Callithrix jacchus: one gene and its partners. The protein of the gene in region 1 purifies or fractionates together with the protein of each later gene. This does not show direct contact. Links are inferred from orthologs where the notes say so. Each region holds a gene or a part of one and is shown in the gene's direction. Other genes may lie near its edges.

Region 1 (4,663 bases):
TGACGTACAAAAGGGAAGGAACCACAGGCCCTTGAATGGAAGAGTGAGGAATGTGAAAAACAGACATAGAGAGTGGGTGTGGTGGCTCACGCCTATAATCTCAGTGTTTTAGGAGGCCGAGGATGGAGGATTGCTTGTGCCCGGGAACTGGGGGCCAGCCTGCACAACCTAGCGAGACCCCCGTCTCTGACCAAAATTAAAAAATAGGCCGGGCACGGTGGCTCATGCCTATAATCCCAGCACTTTGGGAGGCCGAGGCAGGTGGATCACGAGGTCAAGAGATCGAGACCATGCTGGTCAACAAGGTGAAACATCTCTACTAAAAACACGGCCGGGCGCAGTGGCTCAAGCTTGTAATCCCAGCACTTTGGGAGGCCGAGGTGGGTGGATCAGGAGGTCAAGAGATCGAGACCATCCTGGTCAACATGGTGAAACCCCGTCTCTACTAAAAATACTTTAAAAATTAGCTGGGCATGGTGGCGCGTGCCTGTAATCCCAGGTACTCAGGAGTACCTCAGGAGGCTGAGGCAGGAGAATTGCCTGAACCCAGGAGGCGGAGGTTGTGGTGGGCCGAGACTGTGCCATTGCACTTCAGTCTGGGTAACAGTGAAACTCCGTCTCAAAATAAATAAATAAATAATAATAAAATCAGCTGGGTGTGGTGGGGCGCACCTGTAGTCCGAACTACTTGGGAGGCTGAGGTGGGAGGATCACTTGAGCCCAGGAGTCTGAGGCTGCAATGAGCTGAGATGAGACCATTGCACTCCGGCCTGGAAGATGGAGTGAGATCCTGTCTCAAACAAACAACAAAACCAGACATGAGGGCCAGTGCCGCTGAAGCGTGAATATCAAGGGCTAGAAAAGTAGAGGTCAGGCCAGGGCAGTTCAGGCAGGGCCTTGCAGAGTGTGGTCGGTTGTTTGGATTTTACTGTGAGGGCAGTAACACGACATTTCATTCATTCTGCAACAGCCTTAAGAACTAAGCGTTTTTGGCTAAGCCCGGTGGCTCACGCCTGTAATCTCAGCACTTTGGGAGGCCGAGGCGGGGATCACGAGGTCACGAGAGAGAGGCCATCCTGGCTAACACGGTGAAACCCAGTCTCTACTAAAAATACCAAAGATTAGCCAGACGTGGTGGTGTGCGCCTGTAGTCCCAGCTACTAGCGAGGCTAAGACAGGAGAACTGCTTGAACCCGGCAGGCGGAGGTTGCAGTGAGCTGAGATCGCGCCACTGCATTCCAGCCTGGGCAACAGAGTGAGACTCCGTCTCAAAAAAAAAAAAAAAAAAAGAACTAGGCATTCTTATCTCAATTTTACAGATGAGGACTATCAAGCCGTTAAGTAATTTGTCAAACGTTACCCGCAGGCGTCAGGAGGGGACAAGGTCTGCGAAAACCCGCGAGGGCGTCGGGATCCCTTAGCCAGAAAACCGTCAACCAAGCCAGTGAACTACCTACTCCTGGGACTCCTGGCCCGCCGCGCGCCGCGGGGACACTGAACATGCGCCTCTCACCTTACGGAAGCCGGGAAGGAAGGGGGCGGGGCCGAGGCCGGCGGGCGCGAGGAAAATGGCGGCGGCAGCTGCAGCTGCGAACGGGACCGGAGGGAGCAGCGGGATGGAGGTGGATGCAGCAGGTAACGGGCTGTGTGGGGGTGGCTTCCAGAGACCTCCTTCAGGGGTGCGTTGAGGCCTCCCTGTGCTCCCAGAAGAAGGGAGGAGGGCGGAACAGCAACATCTTTCCCTGGGATAAGTTGCGGGAGGGAAGTGTGGCCGGGCTCCGTCGTCCCCCACTGCCGTCTCCAGGGAAGGACGTGGGGCCCGGACTCTCACCCTCTCTACTTTCCCTCCACCCTTAGTAGTCCCCAGCGTGATGGCCTCCGGAGTGACTGGGAGTGTATCCGTCGCTCTCCATCCCCTTGTCATTCTCAACATCTCAGACCACTGGATCCGCATGCGCTCCCAGGAGGGGCGGCCTGTGCAGGGTGAGTGTTGGGCATAGCCTCCAGTCTCCTCTCCTTGCTTACCTCCCCCAGTCGTCTTTCCCTTTTTTTACTGGAGCCAGTTCCCCCTCCCTCAAGTCATCGTTTCCCCAGTACTTGGCTCCCACTGACCTCAGACCCTTAGGTGATAGAAGTTTCCTTACCCTCACCTTTTCCATGTCATTCTCTTTCCTAGTGATTGGGGCTCTGATTGGGAAGCAGGAGGGCCGAAATATCGAGGTGATGAACTCCTTTGAGCTGCTGTCCCACACGGTGGAAGAGAAGATTATCATTGACAAGGAATATTATTACACCAAGGAAGAGCAGTGTGAGCGGAATAGACGTGGGGAAGAGGAGTGGGAGTTAAAAAAAAAAGTACAGGGTGGGGAAGATGGAGAAGGTTGGAAATAAACAGGAGAGGAGGCCAAGAACAGAGAAGAAAAGGTTAAGAGAATTGCTGGAGAGATCTCAGAAAAAGAACACATTAAGAGTTCTTTCCCAAAAAGAAAGTAAAGGATAAAAGACAGGATAGAAGGGAGTAATTACTCTAAACTGAGCCAGGATTTGAGGAGCGGGGAGAGAAGCTGGTGAAAATACACCAGGAGCTTCACACAGAGGAAAGATGGCTTAAAGTATTACTATGTCAGGCTGGGCATGGACGGTGGCTCACGCCTGTAATCCTAGCACTTTGGGAGACCGAGACAGGCAGATTATGAGGTCAGAAGTTTAAGACTAGCCTGGCCAACATAGTGAAACCCCATCTCTACTAAAAATACAAAAATTAGCCGCATGTGGTGATGTGCATCTGTAGTCCCAGCTACTCAGGAGGCCGAGGCAGGAGAATCGCTTGAACCTGGGAAGCGGAGGTCGTGGTGAGCCAAGATTGCGCCACTGCACTCCAGCCTGGGCAACAGAACAACTCTGTCTCAAAATAATAATAATAATTACTATGTGTTTTGGTCCCTTCCCCTTCAGTTAAACAGGTGTTCAAGGAGCTGGAATTTCTGGGTTGGTATACCACAGGGGGGCCACCTGACCCCTCGGACATCCACGTCCACAAGCAGGTATACATCTCACACCTGTGCATGCTGAAGCAGAGAATGGGGGATGAGGGGAAGGAGAAAGGGGGGCACTGACTTCCTGTGCATCGTCCCTCTCATTCAGGTGTGTGAGATCATTGAGAGCCCCCTCTTTCTGAAGTTGAACCCTATGACCAAGCACACAGATGTAAGTAATATCCCATGCCTACTGTGTCATAATTGTTGCTGTACCTTTTGTTGTGTGACGGTGTATTGGGGAATGCCAAATGCCACTTATCTGCTGTGACTCTGGCTTAGTCATTTAATCTCCAAACTGTGTGAAATGAGGTAATCCCTACTTCATTGGTTTCTAGGGAAAATTAGCTGAGAGGAAATGTGTGAAATCGACTAGCCCCAATGTTGGCAGATAGTATTCAGGTTTCTCCATCTCCTCCACAGCTTCCTGTCAGCGTTTTTGAGTCTGTCATTGATATAATCAACGGAGAGGTAAAACCCTACCCTTCAACCCTCACATCCTGCTCTTGTCCTCTTTCCTGCTTTTGATTCTCCCTTTGTGGGTTACCTTGCCCTGTAGGCCACAATGCTGTTTGCTGAGCTGACCTACACTCTGGCCACAGAGGAAGCGGAACGCATTGGTGTAGACCACGTGGCCCGAATGACAGCAACAGGCAGTGGAGAGAACTCCACCGGTAACGGAGGGGATTCCTTGGAAGTGGGGGTGGAATGTGTGGCCACATCCTGTCCCAACCTCCTCCTGTCTCCATCCCCTTGCAGTGGCTGAACACCTGATAGCACAGCACAGTGCCATCAAGATGCTGCACAGCCGCGTCAAGCTCATCTTGGAGTACGTCAAGGCCTCTGAAGCAGGTAGGTCAAGGGCTTCCCTGACACTTCCCTGGGGTTCTTCCTCTCCCTTCTGGGGAAGTGACAGCATCCAAATTAATGCAGCCTCTTTTTGTGCCTTTAGGAGAGGTCCCCTTTAATCATGAGATCCTGCGGGAGGCCTATGCTCTGTGTCATTGCCTCCCAGTGCTCAGCACAGACAAGTTCAAGACAGACTTTTATGATGTGAGTGTAAAACCCAGATGGGGAGGTGGGGCTTATGCTGTCACTTTCACATGCAGGACTGGGGACTGTTGTTCCCTGGGCATGCCACAAGAGATCCCCTGAAGAACTGGTCCTTTATGTTCCCTCCCAGCAATGCAATGATGTGGGGCTCATGGCCTACCTCGGCACCATCACTAAAACGTGCAACACCATGAACCAGTTTGTGAACAAGTTCAACGTCCTCTACGACCGACAAGGCATTGGCAGGCGAATGCGCGGGCTCTTTTTCTGATGCGGGTACTTGAAGGGATGATGGACAGGGGTCAGGCAACTGTCCCAAAGCGGGGGGGCACTAGAAACCGCTGTCATTTATTAATAAAAGGGGGAATAGCCCCTGAGCACCCCTGCCGGTGGCTCTGTCCTCTCTGTTAGGCACCACACTGGTTTGTCAACTTGGATGTTCGTCAAAGCTCATTCCAGCCTTGCTCACAAGCCCTTCTGATGTTCTTCAATGACGGAGGCACTGCCACTTTAAGTGACTGCGTGTCAACCACATGGACCGTCTTTAGTGTCCAAGGCTGCCTGCTTCCAACTAA
Region 2 (4,960 bases), on another chromosome or scaffold:
GTTGTTGTTGTTGTTGTTGTTTTAGACAGTTTCGCTCTTGTAGAGCCGGCTGGAATGCAGTTGCATGATCTCGGCTCACCTCCGCCTGCCTGCTGGGTTCGATTCTTCTGCCTCAGCCTCCCGAGGAGGTGGGATTACAGGAGTGCGCCACCACTCCCTGCTTTTTTTTTTTTTTTTTTTTTTTAAAGTAGAGACGGGCCGGTCAGGCTGGTCTGGTCTCGAACCCCTGACCTCAGGCGAATCACCCGTTTCGACCTCCCAAAATGCTGTGATTACAGGCGTGAGAGTCACCACGCCTGGCCAATTTTTTAAAAGATGATTCTGTCACATTCTGAGAGAATGGAAGTGAAATCAATCAATAAATAAAGATTCCGATTTTCCAGGCTGGATAACCCAGAAACCACGGTATCCTAAAGTCTCAATAAACCTTAAGGCACGGAAAGTGAGTTATCCGGCAATACGTGATGGGCGCCCGCCTACATAATCAGTGGGGCCAAGCGCAAGATGAAAATGCCCGGCACTTGCTTTAAAATTATTAAGAATTTCAAGACCGTTAACAGTAGAACATTAAACCAAGCATTATAGATGCTTCCAAGCATACGGATGCAGAGTCCATCAAGGCTAGTCCTGGTGACAGGCTCAGGTCTCGGGGTCTGGAGACCAGGAGACGTCGCTCGAAAGCTGGCCAAACCCTCGCCCTCACTGAGAGAGGCCCCAGAAGGGACCAAGAAGGCAAAGAGCCCATCGATGCCCTCAGGAGCGGGCGGAGGGACGCTCGCAGCTTTCCCAAGGGAGTGCAGGCTGCGGGGACTGAAGTTCAGCTCGGATCCTGAGCCTCTGAGCGCGGGACAACAAGGTCGTTCAACCCACATGCCTCCCCACCCAGCGTGGCCGAGGATCACAGATGTGGCAATTCCCGGCCTTGGACTCAGGCTTGTTACTCAACCACCGGCGGGTGGGGACAGGAGGCAGCGCGAGCACCCTGGACCCGCGGCCGGGGGCGGAGAGGCACCGCAAGGACACAGGGTCTAGGGAAGGTCTGCAACTCGCGGAGGGCCAAGGAAGCGTCTAAGGGGACTGCCGGAACCGGAAAAGCTGTGAGAGAACAACGCGAATACTAGGGAGCGTCTGCAAAGACCGCAGCGGAAAGCCAGGGATTGTCTAAAAAGTTGCCGGAGCGGTTAAAGGGAGGTCTAAAATGGGGCAGTCCCAAGAACAAGGCTTCCAAAAGCTAAGCCAGGAAGGAAGGTGTGGAAGCCTACTGGGACGCCGAGCACCCCTGAGGACAGGACTGGAGCTGCAGCCGACGACAGGAGAACGGCTCTAGCTGGACGGAGGAAAAAGTGGGGAGAAAGGAGGGGAGGCCTTGGGCACTGTCTGAAAAGTGCCCAAATGATTTTTAGGGACAGACAGTAAGTTGTATCCCTTGCTAAAATATCTCTCGGTAGTGAACCACCAATTTTTTTAACCCCTGCCTTTCAGCTATTACGTCTAGTTCGGCTGTCTCTGATCCAAGAAGCTGCCAGTTCCCACTTACTCCTCCCCAACAAGGGCGAAAGGCCCGCCTCCGGTGCGCACTTTCTCCTCCCCTCAGGCCCCTGGCGCATTCTCTCGCCTATCTATCAATCACGGCGCTCCGCTGTCCAGTTGGCTGGCCAAGGGGGCGGGACCGTCGTGTGACGTTTGCAGCCCGCCGGCCAGGAAGCCGCGAGATGTGTGACGAGGTAGGCTCGTGACGGAGGAGCGGTTGGCCAACGCAGCGGCGGCAGTTGGTGTAAACAAGGCCTCGCGCCACTGCGGGTCCTGCGACCGCTCCTGGCTGGTGGGTGGTCTCCCGGGGGGCGGTAACTGCCGGCTTCAGTGGGAGGTGCTTCTCGGCTTCCTACCCCTCTTGGCTTACACACCCCCGGCGCACCACGTGGGCGTGAGGCAAGGAAGAAGGGGGGGTAGGCCAAATTTTATTTTCATTGGCTGTCACTGCTGCCGGCTTTCCTAAGGAAGCGCTCTGATTGGTCGGTAAGAGGGGGCGTCGAGGGTCTTTAAGTCTTAAGGCTTCTAATTGGTTAGATGAGATAAGCTAGTGGTGCTCATTCTTTCTCGAGGGGCTTCGATTGGTCTGTCAGAGAGGTTACCTGGGAATCCAACACCGCCCAACAACCCTTCCGCTCCCCAGTCCTGGGACTTTAATAGGTGAGTTTGGTGTAGAAAACTGAGAAATCTTTCTCAAATTGGTGAGGTAGGGTGACGCCCTTCGCTTCACTCTCTCTTTCTTTGCTTCACAGGATTGGAGAAGGTTTGTGTTCCCGACGCCTTGGTAGTTGGCATAGGCTAAAGAAAAGGGATCTCAGCCCCGAGGAAGGGTCACCCTCCTGGAGATAGCTACCCCATCTCAGGAGACCCTGGTATTTCTAGAGCACGCTTTGCTTTCACCAAACCCAAGGAGGTGACAGGAGGAGCCCCCGCACAGAACCTAAGAATGCTGTGACCAAAAGATGGGATCACGGAACAGCAGCAGTGCGGGATCCGGGTCCGGAGACCCCTCCGAGGGTTTGTCCCGAAGAGGGGCTGGCCTTCGTCGGAGTGAGGAAGAGGAAGAAGAGGATGAAGATGTGGATCTGGCCCAGGTACTGGCCTATCTCCTCCGCAGGTAACTTACCCTCTGGTGTGACCTCACCAGGTGCTACCACGGTCCCTTGATCCCAACTCCAGGCAGGAAAATTACAGAGGTTAGGAAATGGGATTTGCCCAGAACAGCCGTTCTGTTTGAGCAGAACAGCCTTTCCCTATTGGGCACCCATGGCACACAGCTCCATATCCAGTAAGAGTGGGTCTTACCTAAGGAGGGTCACCAAGAGGACCTGCTCATGTGTTTGAGGGACTATTCAAGGGAGCCTCTCTCGCTGTGACTAAACAAATATAATCTATTTTCCAAGTAAGTTTAAAACAAAATGGGGCCTGGAGGGAAAGGAGTGATGTAAGGGGTGAAGAGATGGGAAGGGAGTGTTGAACTTTTTAGTAAGGCATTGACGCGTGATGTGAGGCCACTTTGATTACTTGAAAAACAAGTTTAAATTGCCCTGACCTGTTCTTGAGGAAAGAGTACCTTGAAGGGAGCGACCACCTGGAATTGACTGGAAGAGTGCAGCTAGCTTTGTTTCTTTCCTTATGGCTATTTGGGGAGAAGATGAGCATGGGGGTCCCTTCTGAATATTGTAGTCTTTTTTGTTTGTTTGTGTTTTGTTTTGTTTTCAGTAGACATAGACAGGATCTCACTGTGTTCCCCAGTCTGGAGAGCAGGCTATTCACAGGTGTGATCACAGTGCACACCACATCCTGGGCTCAAGCATTCCTTGCCTCCCAGGTAGCTAAGACTACAGTTGCACACGCCACTGCTCCCAGCTTAGAATATTGTGTTCTGTGGTGGACTTCTCAGGCAGAGGCTCAGAAGGAAACACTGTGAGAATGTTTAGCTCGTTGGGAGGTCAACTTAGTAGGTAATGTCCACAGCGTGTTGCTTTTGCTCTTGTTCTAAAAGTAAGACTCACTTTCTTACTGTGTTTTATAGGAAACTGAAAATAATAGCCAAGGTCTAGTCAGCCTGAAACCTCAAAATGAGTACCAAGTGGTCTAAGAGCTAGATAGCCATTGACTCTGAATTTGTTGGTTTGGGGGAAGAAGTCCCCTCCTTTATACTGGGGGTCTCTCCACAGAGGCCAAGTGAGGTTGGTGCAGGGAGGAGGTGCAGCAAATTTACAATTCATTCAGGCCCTCTTGGACTCAGAGGAAGAGAATGACAGAGCTTGGGATGGTCGTCTTGGGGACCGATACAACCCACCTGGTAAGAGGAAAAGGCCCTAATGTTGGAAGACTTTTACTAGAAAACCTATTAGTGATACTTTGAATAATAGATTACATTAAAAGAAGGTGCAATAATTTAGGGAATAAGGAAGTCCTTATAACCCCGGTATATTCAGCCACAGGGGTGGGCTTGGGTACAGTTCTGCTAACTATCCTCTGAGGCTGAAAGACCTAGGATGAAACTTCTTGGTACTCACAGTGGATGCCACCCCTGACACCCGGGAGCTGGAATGCAATGAGATCAAGACACAAGTGGAATTGGCCACAGGGCAGCTGGGGCTTAGGCGGGCAGCCCAGGAACACAGCTTCCCTCGAATGTTGCACCAGGTAGGCCTCTCCACCTCCCAGCCTGGCAGCAGGACTACCAAAGCAGCCAGAAGCTCTGCCAGCCCCAGAGAAAAAGAAAGTAAACTTTTCAAGGAAGTCTCAAGGGCTAGTGCTGGAGAGTTAACTAGCTTCCATCAGAGTTCTATGGGACAGACCATGGTGTGTTGTGTCTATTTCTATAACAAGAGCAATATCCTTGGTGGAGGGGGCTTGATACGGCTGAAGTGGCCCTCTGTTTCTGCTAGCAATATTCCCTAATCCCTTCCATTTAGAGAGAACGGGGCCTCTGCCACCGGGGAAGCTTCTCCCTTGGAGAACAGTCTCGAGTGATATCTCAGTGAGTATGGGGCTTGGTGAAGAGACTCTAAGGGCCAGATAAGTCTTATCTCCTAAAGTTTGAAGGGGTTGGTGTTAAAAGAGCCTTGAAGATATTAAAGTTTAGGTTAAATGGGGTTGAAACTTTGAGAGTAAACAAACTGGAAAAGTATAGAAATGTAAAGGATGCCGGGCGCGGTGGCTCACGCCTATAATCCCAGCACTTTGGGAGGCCGAGGTGGGTGGATCACGAGGTCAAGAGATCGAGACCATCCTGGTCAGCAAGGTGAAACCCCGTCTCTACTAAAAATACAAAAATTAGCTTGGCATGGTGGTGCATGCCTGTAGTCCCAGCTACTTGGGAGGCTGAGGCAGGAGAATTGCCTGAACCCAGGAGGCGGAGGTTGCGGTGAGCCGAGATCACGCCATTGCACTCCAGCCTGGGTAACGAGCGAAACTC
Region 3 (4,810 bases), on another chromosome or scaffold:
TTTTAGACAGAGTCTCACTCTGTCACCTAGGCTGGAGTGCAGTGGCACAATATGGCTCACCGCAGCCTTCATCTCCTTGATTCAAGTGATCCTCCCACTTCAGCCCCCCAAGCAGCCAGAACTACAGGCGTGCACCACTGGAAAATTTTTGTATTTTTTGCAGAGACAAGGTTTCCCCATGTTATCTAGGCTGGTCTTGAGCTCAAGCAATCCGCCCACCTCGGCCTCCCAAAGCCATGATTACAGGCGTGAGCCACTGCCCCCTTTCTCCCTCGGGACCTTGTGGGAAATGCCTCTCCTTGGGGAACCACCCTTTGATATTTGTTATAACAAAGCAAGTCTCTGAATGGCCACCAGGAAACTTCTGTGTTAAGACGCTCGAGGTTGCTTCATTTGTTTTGAGTGCGAAGGAACAGAACTGGCAACAAGCACCCACGAAGGCTCGACAAGAGAAAGGGAACGTTTGGTGGGGCGGTAGCTGCCAGATGGGTCCTATCTTCCAGTGCTCCCATACAGATCAGGGGCTGTCATGGGGAACCCTCATAGCTACCGTAGTGGCAGCAGCAACACCCGAACCCCAAACACTGGGTCCAGTTGCACCTGGCCTTGGCTGAACAAGACTGGGACTCAGGCAAAACTGGCCTTTCTCCTTTTCCTCACTCAATGTGCCGAACCCCCGCATGGAGCCTGGGGGGCAATAACCCTTGGACCCATTCCGCTCTCTCGGGAGCGGTTTCCTAATCTGTAAAGAGTAGGGCTCGGACTGGTGATCCCAAAACCCCCTCTAGTTCGAAAACCGACTAGTGCAGAAGAGTCCAGACGACCTCCGGCTCCCTGCCTCAAGGCTTCAATACCCTGGGCGCGATGTGGGACTCCTTTGTGGGACCAATGAACATTAGTTCTGAATACCGTAAGTCGTGGCCAGGCTGAAAGGACTCCCACGATGTCTCGCCCTCCTTCGCCTGGGTTTCAGAGATGAGCGACCCAAGCCGGAAACCTCCAGATAGAGTGGTGTTTGGACTCCAGCCACGGTCTCCCGTCGCCCCACTCCCACCGGCGCGCAGCCCCTGCTCACCGTTTACCAGGCAGCGACGCTCCCGGGATGCGAAGCTGCAACCGAAGCCACCTGCACTCCCCACGCGGGGCTGGCTGGCTGTGTACACGGTCGCCATGGCAACGGGTCGCTTCCGGGGATTCCGGAAGTGTCGAGAGTGGCGGAAATGAAGTCCGAGGTCCTACGTCGAGGATATGGGTGAGGTCATGGCCGAATTGGGAAGACGAGAGATGAGGCCGATTGATCTAGAAAGAACTCGGCAGATGCATGCGCGAAGCGAAGGTCGGGGTAGCGAAGGAACGAAGGCTGCACATGAACCAGGAAGCGGGGCGGCGGGGCTTCCGGCGCCGAGGAGTTTTAACTACGGCGGCCGCGGAGGCCCGTTCGATTGCTCCTCCGCGCTCGGAGCTGCTGGCGGCGTGCGCGCGCGCCCCGCCCTGGTTAGTGAGTAGCCGGCCGGCGAGGCCTGCGCAGTTGCGGCGGCCGGGGAAGATGGTGGAGGACGGTGCGGAGGAGCTGGAGGATCTGGTGCACTTCTCGGTGTCCGAGTTGCCTAGTCGCGGCTACGGAGTCATGGAGGAGATCCGGCGGCAAGGCAAGCTGTGCGACGTGACCCTCAAGGTACCGCGGGCTGGGCGGCAGCGGGCTGAGGTGAAAGGGGTCGAGCGGGCAGTAAAAAGGGGTGGGGGACAGGGAAAGAGAGGTCAGCAGGGAGAGGCGTGGGGAGTAGAGGTTTGAGGGGGCCGAGTAGTGGGGAGAGAGGTGCCGAGCAGGAGAACGGGATAGGGGCTGAGTGGGGAGAGGAAGAGGACAGACAGCCTTTCAGCCCTTGGAAGGAAAGGTTGAGAGGTGCGCCGCTTAGGCCCTCGGAGTGGGAGACATTGGGGTGACAGCCTCCCTTTTCTGTCATACAGACAAGAGAAAATGGACTTACCTTCTGTGGAGGCAGGGGCGGTGGCGGCCCCACGTGCTGATGGGCACCACTGAAGCATCTTTTCTTGTCACCACAGAAATTTCTTTGTGCCTCTTGAAGTTGGCTATGCTGTTGTAGAGGAGAAGCCTACTCCTTAGGAATCATTGCCAGCCCTTAATTTTTGAATTACTGCTTTGTCTCTTAAGAGTTTTAAAAATCTGATCTGGAAATTTTTTGAGGTGGGAAGCCACCCTGCCCCACACTTGAAGGCACCACTCACCACCAACCACCACAACCACCACCATCACAAAGGTTCCTGGGGCTGGGCCTCTTGGCTGCATGGGGAGAGGGATGCTGACTGACATTAAGAGGGAAAGATATCTTAACAACCTGTTCCCCACCAGCATCCTGGCCGCAAGAGCCAGCCTCCCTCCTGTGCCTGCGTCCTTTCATGTGGAAGAGGCGTACTGTGTTGCTCCCTAGCCAAGCCACCGAACTATGTTGAGCCGTCCGGTTGGGGAAGTAATGAGTGGGGCTCCCCGTTGGGCTTTGGCTGGAAAGCGCTCAGCATCTGTGGGTGATCCCTGTTTAAAAAACAAGCAGGCCAGGCATGGTGGCTCACACCTGTAATCCCAGCACTTTGAGAGGTGAGAGGATCACTTGAGCAGGGGAGCTGGAGACCAGCCTGGGCTATGTAGGGAGACCCTTTCTCTACAGATAAAAAATTGGCTGCGCATGGTGGCCTGTGTCTATAGTCCCAGATATCAGGAGACTGAGGTGGGAGGATCACTTGAGCCTAGAAGGTGAAGCCTGCGGTGAGCTGTAATTGCCCACTGCACTTCAGCCTGGGCAACAGAGCAAGACCCTATTTCTCCGATTTCTCTCTCTCATTTCTCCTATTTCTCTCTCTCTCTCTCTCTCACACACACACACACACACACACACACACAGAGAGAGAGAGAGAGAGAGAGAGAGAGAGAGAGAACAAAACTATGCAGAGATCCTTTTGTTCTTAGGTTCTTTTTTTTGAGATGGAGTCTGGCTCTGTCGCCCAGGCTACAGTGGGGCAATCTCGACTCACTACAGCCTCCCTCTCCTGGGTTCAAGTGATACTCCTGCCTCAGCCTCCCCACTACACATACCACCACACCTGGCTAATTTTTTGTATTTATAGTAGAGATGGGGTTTAACCGTGCCCAGGCTGGTCTTGAACTCCTGAGCTCCAACAATCCGCCCACCTCAGCCTCCCAAAGTGCCAGGATTACAGGAATGAGCCACCACGCCTGGCCTGCTCTTCTTATTTTCTACATGGTGAGGGAAACTTATCTTCTTCCACATGTTTGAGTCACACTTCTAGAGATGGTAGAGTAGGATGGTTGAGTATGGCTTTGAAGCCAGAAGGATTTGGATTAAAATCCTAGTTGTAACCTTGGGCAGGTTACTTAATCTCTGTAAGCCTACGTTTTCCAAATGTAAAAATAGGGATGATTTTGAATTCACAGCATTAGTGTGAAGATTAGATGAGAAAATTTGTGGTGCTCTTTGCGTTATACCTGGCAAAATGTTTTCATCTTTTTTTTTTCTTCTGAGACAGAGTCTCACTGTGTCACCAGGCTGGAGTGTAGTGGCACGATCTCGGCTCCCTGCAACCTCTACCTCCTAGGTTTAAGTGATTCTCCTGCCTCAGCCGCCCAGGTAACTGGGACTACAGGCGCCCACAACCACGCCCAGCTAATTTTTTTTTTTTTTTGTATTTTTAGTAGAGACAGGGTTTCAGTATGTTGGCCAGGCTGGTTTTGAACTTCTGACCTCGTGATCCCCTCCTTGACCTCCCAGAGTGCTAGGATTACAGGCATGAGTCACTGCGCCCGGCCCTTTTCATCATTCTAAACCCCTCCTGAAGGAGTTTGTTTTTCCAGGAGAGGAGTGAAGTGACCTGAGAAAGGGCAAGATCTTCTCAGATGGGAAAAGGAACCAAGCAAACTGAGAAAAATGAGCTGGACTAAAGAAGACAGAGGAAGTAAAAGTAAATGAGAAGATTTTGTCCACAGTGATTACATGGTGGAAGATGTTAAGGCTGCTAGAGATTTGTAAGCAGAAAAATGATCTAATTGTGTAGTAACACTTGGTGTAAATAGAGACTAGTGAAAAGCAGTAATAGGGGAGAATTTTTAGATTAAAATTTAGGCTGTAGGCTGGGCACTGTGGCTCACGCCTGTAACCCCAGCACTTTGGGAGGCTGAGGCAGGTGGATTACTTTCAACTCAGGAGTTTGAGACCAGCTTGGGCAACATGGTGAAACCCCGTTTTTACAGATAAAAATTTAGCTGTAGTGGTGTGTACCTTTAGTCTTAGCTACTCAGGAGGCTGAGGTGGGAGGATCACTTGAGCTTGGAAGGTAGCCTGAGCAACAGAGTGAGACCCTGTCTCAAAAAAAAAAAAAAAAAAAATCAGACATAGTTCCAACTGAAAGGGTCAGTCTGAATTGCTGTTAGTTTCAAGGATCTAGAACATAAGGACCAATATATATATATTTTTTCTTTTTTTCCTCTCTCTTTAAGAAAAAGCCTCCAGTGGGAAGGACTAGTATAAAGGCATGGGCTAGAACTGGACGGGACTGTAGACAGCATTTATTTTACTGATTTTGAAAACTATATTGTAAAGCCCAGGGGTTAGCTCCGAAGCAATATGATGATGGGACTGGGGAAAGGGCACGCAAACCAGGCTCTGCACATTTCACTACTTGCCACCAGAGCTGCTCTGGGAAATCTGTTTTGTCTCTCTTTCTTCAGTCTTTCTTCAGTTTTCTGGTGACTACACAGTGTTTTTCAAATAAACAGACA
Region 4 (4,625 bases), on another chromosome or scaffold:
TCAAGGAACTAAGACTCAAGGCTTGTTGTCCAAGCTTCTTCCAGGGGTGCAGCCAGACTTTCCCCTGCTGCTTCTAGTCACCCCAACCCACAAGGCTGGAGGCGTGGCCTCAGGGAAAGCAGACAAGCCACCCTTGGCCAGAGACCACTCCTGGGCGAGGAGCTGCAGAATCAGAGGGGTGGCGCCTGGGCCCCTCCGCAGGCAAGTGCCACCACACCAAGCGCTCGCGAGCACGATGGTTTCCGTGGTGACGGCGGAAGTGGCTGACCCGCAGGGTTCTGTTTCCTCCCGCCCTCCCAGACACACTGAGCTGCGATTGGATGGGAAGCTGACTCCCGCCTATATCCCCTTTTTCAGATAGTGGGTTGAAAGCCGTGAGACCGCAGTGCGTCTCTGCTGGAATTGGGGGCCCACTCCCAGAGCTGCCCGGCTCCGCCCCCACATCGCGTTCCCCAAGTGTCCAGCCCGACAGGTCTTCCTCTACACCACCTTAACCCTCCAGAGTGCTTACCACCATCTGGCACAATACATGTTTTGTTAGTTTACCTCAATCAGAATCTCCAGGAACTGGGATCTTTGGGTTTGCGATGGGACAATGAAGGTGCTCGACCTCGCACCCTCTGGGTAACGCCTCTAGTCTCACTCAGAGTCTCGCCGCGATCACCCTGCCTTTGTCTGTGACCCATGGGGTCAAAGGCTCTGACCCACCCGCGCCGCGCTCTGCACAAGTACAACATAGGATGAAGTGACCGCGAGCGAAACACCCCACGTCTGCCCCACTCAAAGATGGCGGCTAACCACACTTCCTGCCCGACCCCGCTAGAGTCACCGGAAGTGACCCGCCGGGCAGCCGAAGCGTCAACTCCAAGAACGGAAATACCCGAATCCAGCCGAAGGAGGCCGAACCCCAAACTCCATCCCTGAGCAACGCGAGTTTGCCGCGGCTGCGCAGGCGCACAACGCAGGCCGGGCGGGAAGACCCAAAGCGGACAGGCGGCGGAAATATCCGAAGCGGCGGGGCGCCCGAGGCCGTTACCGACCTCCGCGCTAAAGCCGCTGCTGCCGCGGAAACCGATCCTTCAGTACTCAGCCCCCGTCACCGCGGCTGCCCCGTCCTCCTCCCACCCCGAGCCGCAGCTCCCTCGCGGACGGATCAGCTGAGCGGCCAAACGGCGCGGCCGGGGGAAACCAGAGTCCGCAGCTGCGGCGGGGCCTGAGACCAGAGCGGGCGAGGGCAAGGAAGGAGCAGCCGGGGGCGATAGGGGCGGGGCCGGGCGGCCCGAGAACACCCGAGTTTGGCCGAGCGCTGCCGTTCGAGCCCGAGACTCCAGGCCAGGCCAGAGCCGGACTACGGGAGCCGAGTCGGGCCGCGCGGTGGGCGCGGAGCAGAGCAGAGCGGCGCGGCAGGCCGGGCGGGTGGCGAGAGCCGCGGAGGCCGCAGCGGCGGGTCCGAGGAGCAGAGGCGACGCGGGCGGCGGCGGGAGGCCGGGTGGCCGGGGTCCCGGGCCCCGCGGCGGCGGCAGCGGCGGCGGCGGCGGCAGGATGATCAAGCTGTTCTCGCTGAAGCAGCAGAAGAAGGAGGAGGAGTCGGCAGGCGGCACCAAGGGCAGCAGCAAGAAGGCGTCGGCGGCGCAGCTGCGGATCCAGAAGGGTAGGGGGTCAGGGGATGGGGCTGGAGCCAGAGTCGGAGTTCAGGGCCTGAGGCTGGGTGATGTGGGCGTCAGGAGGGGATCATGCGATCGCCGAGGGTCAGAGGTGGAGGGCCCCTAGTGTAGCGGGTCGGAGGTCAGGTCTTGAGGGTTGGGGTCATGCAGTCACGGGGAGGGGGGTCAGAGATAGGGGCCCAGTGTGTGGTGGTTTAGGATATTAGGAAGGCCTGTGTCTGGTACGAGGGACCCGGAATCTCAGAGTCAGGCAGTGGAGTGGAGGAGCTGGGGACTCGAGAGTCTGGGGGTTAGACGGGAACTTGGGTTTGGGATGACAGGAGGAGAGAGGGATAGTAGAGGCCAGGGGCTGGGGATATGAATGGGAGAAGACTCCGTGTATCTCAAGAGTCAGACGGGTGGACTAGGTTGGAGGACCCGAAACTCATGGGCCTCAGAGTCACAGCAATTTGGGGTATGGGGTGACAGGTGGTGGAGAGAAGGTTAGTGACTACCAGGGATTGGAGACAGGGGTGAGAAGAAATTTAGCCTATTGTGCTGTGAACCTCGGAGTCAGAGGGAGTGGGCTAGGGTGATGAGGGTTTGGGGACTTGAGAGTGTGGGGGTCAGGTGGGAAGAAGGCCTTTTTCTCTCTCAGAGAAAAAGGACAGTGAGGACTGAAAATTGGTGAGGGTAGGCAGGACCCTTGACTTTGGGTGGACAGGTAGGAACATCTTGGATGGGGAGCCTGGGATTCAGGGTGGTCAGAGGATATTTGGAGCGGGAGCATTTGGGAGCTATGGATGCAGAAAATTGGGCGTTTACCCTGGGCCAGGAGTTGGGACACGCAGACTGAACATACCTGTTTGGGGTATGCCATATATCCACAAGAGCCAAACAGGAGAAGGGAGAGGGCTGGAGGTGTGGAGCACAGCCCAGGACAGAGGCTTGGGGGTCCAGGAGGAGGCCATAGGGGCTGTGCTGACAACACCTGCCCTAAGTGTCCTGCTGTCTCCCTCTTTGTCACTTTTTCCCCCTCCCTCTTTCTCCCTCCCCCTTTCTTTCCCCAACTCTCTGCTGCCCAAACCCAGACATAAACGAGCTGAACCTGCCCAAGACGTGTGATATCAGCTTCTCAGATCCAGACGACCTCCTCAACTTCAAGCTGGTCATCTGTCCTGATGAGGTGAGGGTGCATATGGCTGGATTCACAGAAGCAGATCAAGAGTGTCCCCACTGAGAGGACGGAGACATGTTCTGTCAGGCCCCACAGGATTGAACCCTAAAATCTTCTTCTCCCCCTTTCCCTCCCAGGGCTTCTACAAGAGTGGGAAGTTTGTGTTCAGTTTTAAGGTGAGTCCCAGGTGGGCAGGGATGGCTGCCTGGACTGAGGAGGCAGCAGCTGAGGCCCTTCCAGGCACCAATCCATCTCCCTTTTCTTTTCCTGGAACCAGGTGGGCCAGGGTTATCCGCATGATCCCCCCAAGGTGAAGTGTGAGACAATGGTCTATCATCCCAACATTGACCTCGAGGGCAACGTCTGCCTCAACATCCTCAGGTGAGGGCACTGGCCCTCTACTGCCTTCCCCAGCCCTGCCTGTCATACCCCCCTCATGGTCTTCTGGGCACTACATCAGTCTCTGTGCCTACCCACCCCTTTGTTGTCTGTGGTTTCTTCATTTCCCAGTCATCTTCCTCATGGCCTGACCTTGGTTTTCTCCCTGTCCTGGCCTGCTCCACACCCTCCCTCCCAGTCTCCCACATCCTCACTCTCCTATGCCCTGGATCTGACCTGTCCAATATCAGAGGGGCCTATGGCAATCTCCCACTCACCAAGCCCTGACCCTGATGCTCTCTGTCCACAGAGAGGACTGGAAGCCAGTCCTTACGGTAAACTCCATAATTTATGGCCTGCAGTATCTCTTCTTGGTGAGTAGGAATAGGTGGTTGGGTTTGGGGAGATCGGTCTTCTGTCTCTCTGGCCTGTTGACCCCACCTGTACTGGCCACAGGAGCCCAACCCCGAGGACCCACTGAACAAGGAGGCCGCAGAGGTCCTGCAGAACAACCGGCGGCTGTTTGAGCAGAACGTGCAGCGTTCCATGCGGGGTGGCTACATCGGCTCCACCTACTTCGAGCGCTGCCTGAAATAGGGTTGGCGCACACCCACCCCCGCCACGGCCACAAGCCGTGGCGTCCCCTGCAAATATTTATTGGGGGCCACCGGCAGGGGGTTGGGGGGCAGCCGGTGGGGGAATTCCCTGCCTTGGCCTTGCCTCCCCTTCCTGCTACCTGCCCCTAGTTTGTTTTTTTTTTTTAAACCACCATGTGATTAAGGTCGGTGTTGCCTCCCCCGACCCACTCAGCAATGGGAAATGAATTGGCTTGTCTAGCCCCCTGCTGGGTGTTTGTTCAGCCCCCACTCTGGGCTGTGGAGTGGGTGGGCAAGGGGCCTGGGTAGCTGGGCCCAGGCAACCCACCCCTCCACCTCTGGAGGTCCCACCAGGCTATTAAAGGGGAATGTTACTGCATGGCCTCTGCTTCTTACTTCTATGGGGTTGGAGGGGGCAGCTGCGGTCCACTAGGGTCTGCAAAGCTGGGGGGTGGTGGAACGTGTATTAACAGGTGGCATTGGAGCACCCTACAACAGAATGCCCAGTGCCTGGGCAGCTCTGGAGTTGGTGGGGTTACCAGGCCTGAGCCTGGGGTTGGTTGGGATGAAGCCCACTCTAGGATGAGAAGCGTAGTCAGGATCCAGTGGTCTCTGGCTTCCTGGCCAAGAGGCCGGCACAGTGGAAGGGCAAGCCATCTCTAGCTCTGCCCCTTTCTTGTATGGGTGGGCCCACCGAGGAGGAGAAGCCTCCTGTGGCTCTTCTATCTGAAACCTCAGGCAGAAGTCGGGGTCTTACGGATAAGCTGGGTCCTCAGGTGTAGACTGGGTGGAAATCGGCCAAAGATGCACCACCTTCGCCTGAGCGCCCAC

The links.
Region 2: the proteins of COPS6 (region 1) and DCAF11 purify together in Homo sapiens (affinity purification with mass spectrometry; 6 studies listed by BioGRID and IntAct, counting the BioPlex papers as one, with this or other methods). This does not show direct contact. The link is inferred for Callithrix jacchus from reciprocal best matches to the Homo sapiens genes COPS6 and DCAF11.
Region 3: the proteins of COPS6 (region 1) and KLHL18 purify together in Homo sapiens (affinity purification with mass spectrometry; 3 studies listed by BioGRID and IntAct, with this or other methods). This does not show direct contact. The link is inferred for Callithrix jacchus from reciprocal best matches to the Homo sapiens genes COPS6 and KLHL18.
Region 4: the proteins of COPS6 (region 1) and UBE2M purify together in Homo sapiens (affinity purification with mass spectrometry; 3 studies listed by BioGRID and IntAct, counting the BioPlex papers as one, with this or other methods). This does not show direct contact. The link is inferred for Callithrix jacchus from reciprocal best matches to the Homo sapiens genes COPS6 and UBE2M.

What each region holds. Positions count from the first base shown.
Region 1 is NC_133503.1:13,492,866-13,497,528, reverse strand, and holds the start of COPS6 (COP9 signalosome complex subunit 6), read left to right. Parts: upstream 1-1,555; 5' UTR 1,556-1,568; coding exon 1,569-1,635; intron 1,636-1,857; coding exon 1,858-1,983; intron 1,984-2,176; coding exon 2,177-2,308; intron 2,309-2,955; coding exon 2,956-3,044; intron 3,045-3,144; coding exon 3,145-3,207; intron 3,208-3,458; coding exon 3,459-3,506; intron 3,507-3,594; coding exon 3,595-3,709; intron 3,710-3,794; coding exon 3,795-3,887; intron 3,888-3,987; coding exon 3,988-4,088; intron 4,089-4,218; coding exon 4,219-4,359; 3' UTR 4,360-4,663. UniProt on the Homo sapiens protein: Component of the COP9 signalosome complex (CSN), a complex involved in various cellular and developmental processes.
Region 2 is NC_133509.1:58,421,335-58,426,294, forward strand, and holds the start of DCAF11 (DDB1- and CUL4-associated factor 11), read left to right. Parts: upstream 1-1,674; 5' UTR 1,675-1,724; exon of another isoform or gene 1,725-2,016; intron 2,017-2,102; 5' UTR 2,103-2,190; intron 2,191-2,282; 5' UTR 2,283-2,492; coding exon 2,493-2,647; intron 2,648-3,710; coding exon 3,711-3,838; intron 3,839-4,057; coding exon 4,058-4,185; intron 4,186-4,457; coding exon 4,458-4,522; intron 4,523-4,960. UniProt on the Homo sapiens protein: May function as a substrate receptor for CUL4-DDB1 E3 ubiquitin-protein ligase complex.
Region 3 is NC_133516.1:29,940,470-29,945,279, forward strand, and holds the start of KLHL18 (kelch-like protein 18), read left to right. Parts: upstream 1-1,524; 5' UTR 1,525-1,546; coding exon 1,547-1,675; intron 1,676-4,810. Other genes in the region: kinesin-like protein KIF9, read right to left, coding at 910-1,172. UniProt on the Homo sapiens protein: Substrate-specific adapter of a BCR (BTB-CUL3-RBX1) E3 ubiquitin-protein ligase complex required for mitotic progression and cytokinesis.
Region 4 is NC_133523.1:51,191,350-51,195,974, reverse strand, and holds UBE2M (NEDD8-conjugating enzyme Ubc12), read left to right. Parts: upstream 1-1,339; 5' UTR 1,340-1,542; coding exon 1,543-1,651; intron 1,652-2,734; coding exon 2,735-2,829; intron 2,830-2,957; coding exon 2,958-2,996; intron 2,997-3,097; coding exon 3,098-3,201; intron 3,202-3,508; coding exon 3,509-3,572; intron 3,573-3,654; coding exon 3,655-3,795; 3' UTR 3,796-4,173; downstream 4,174-4,625.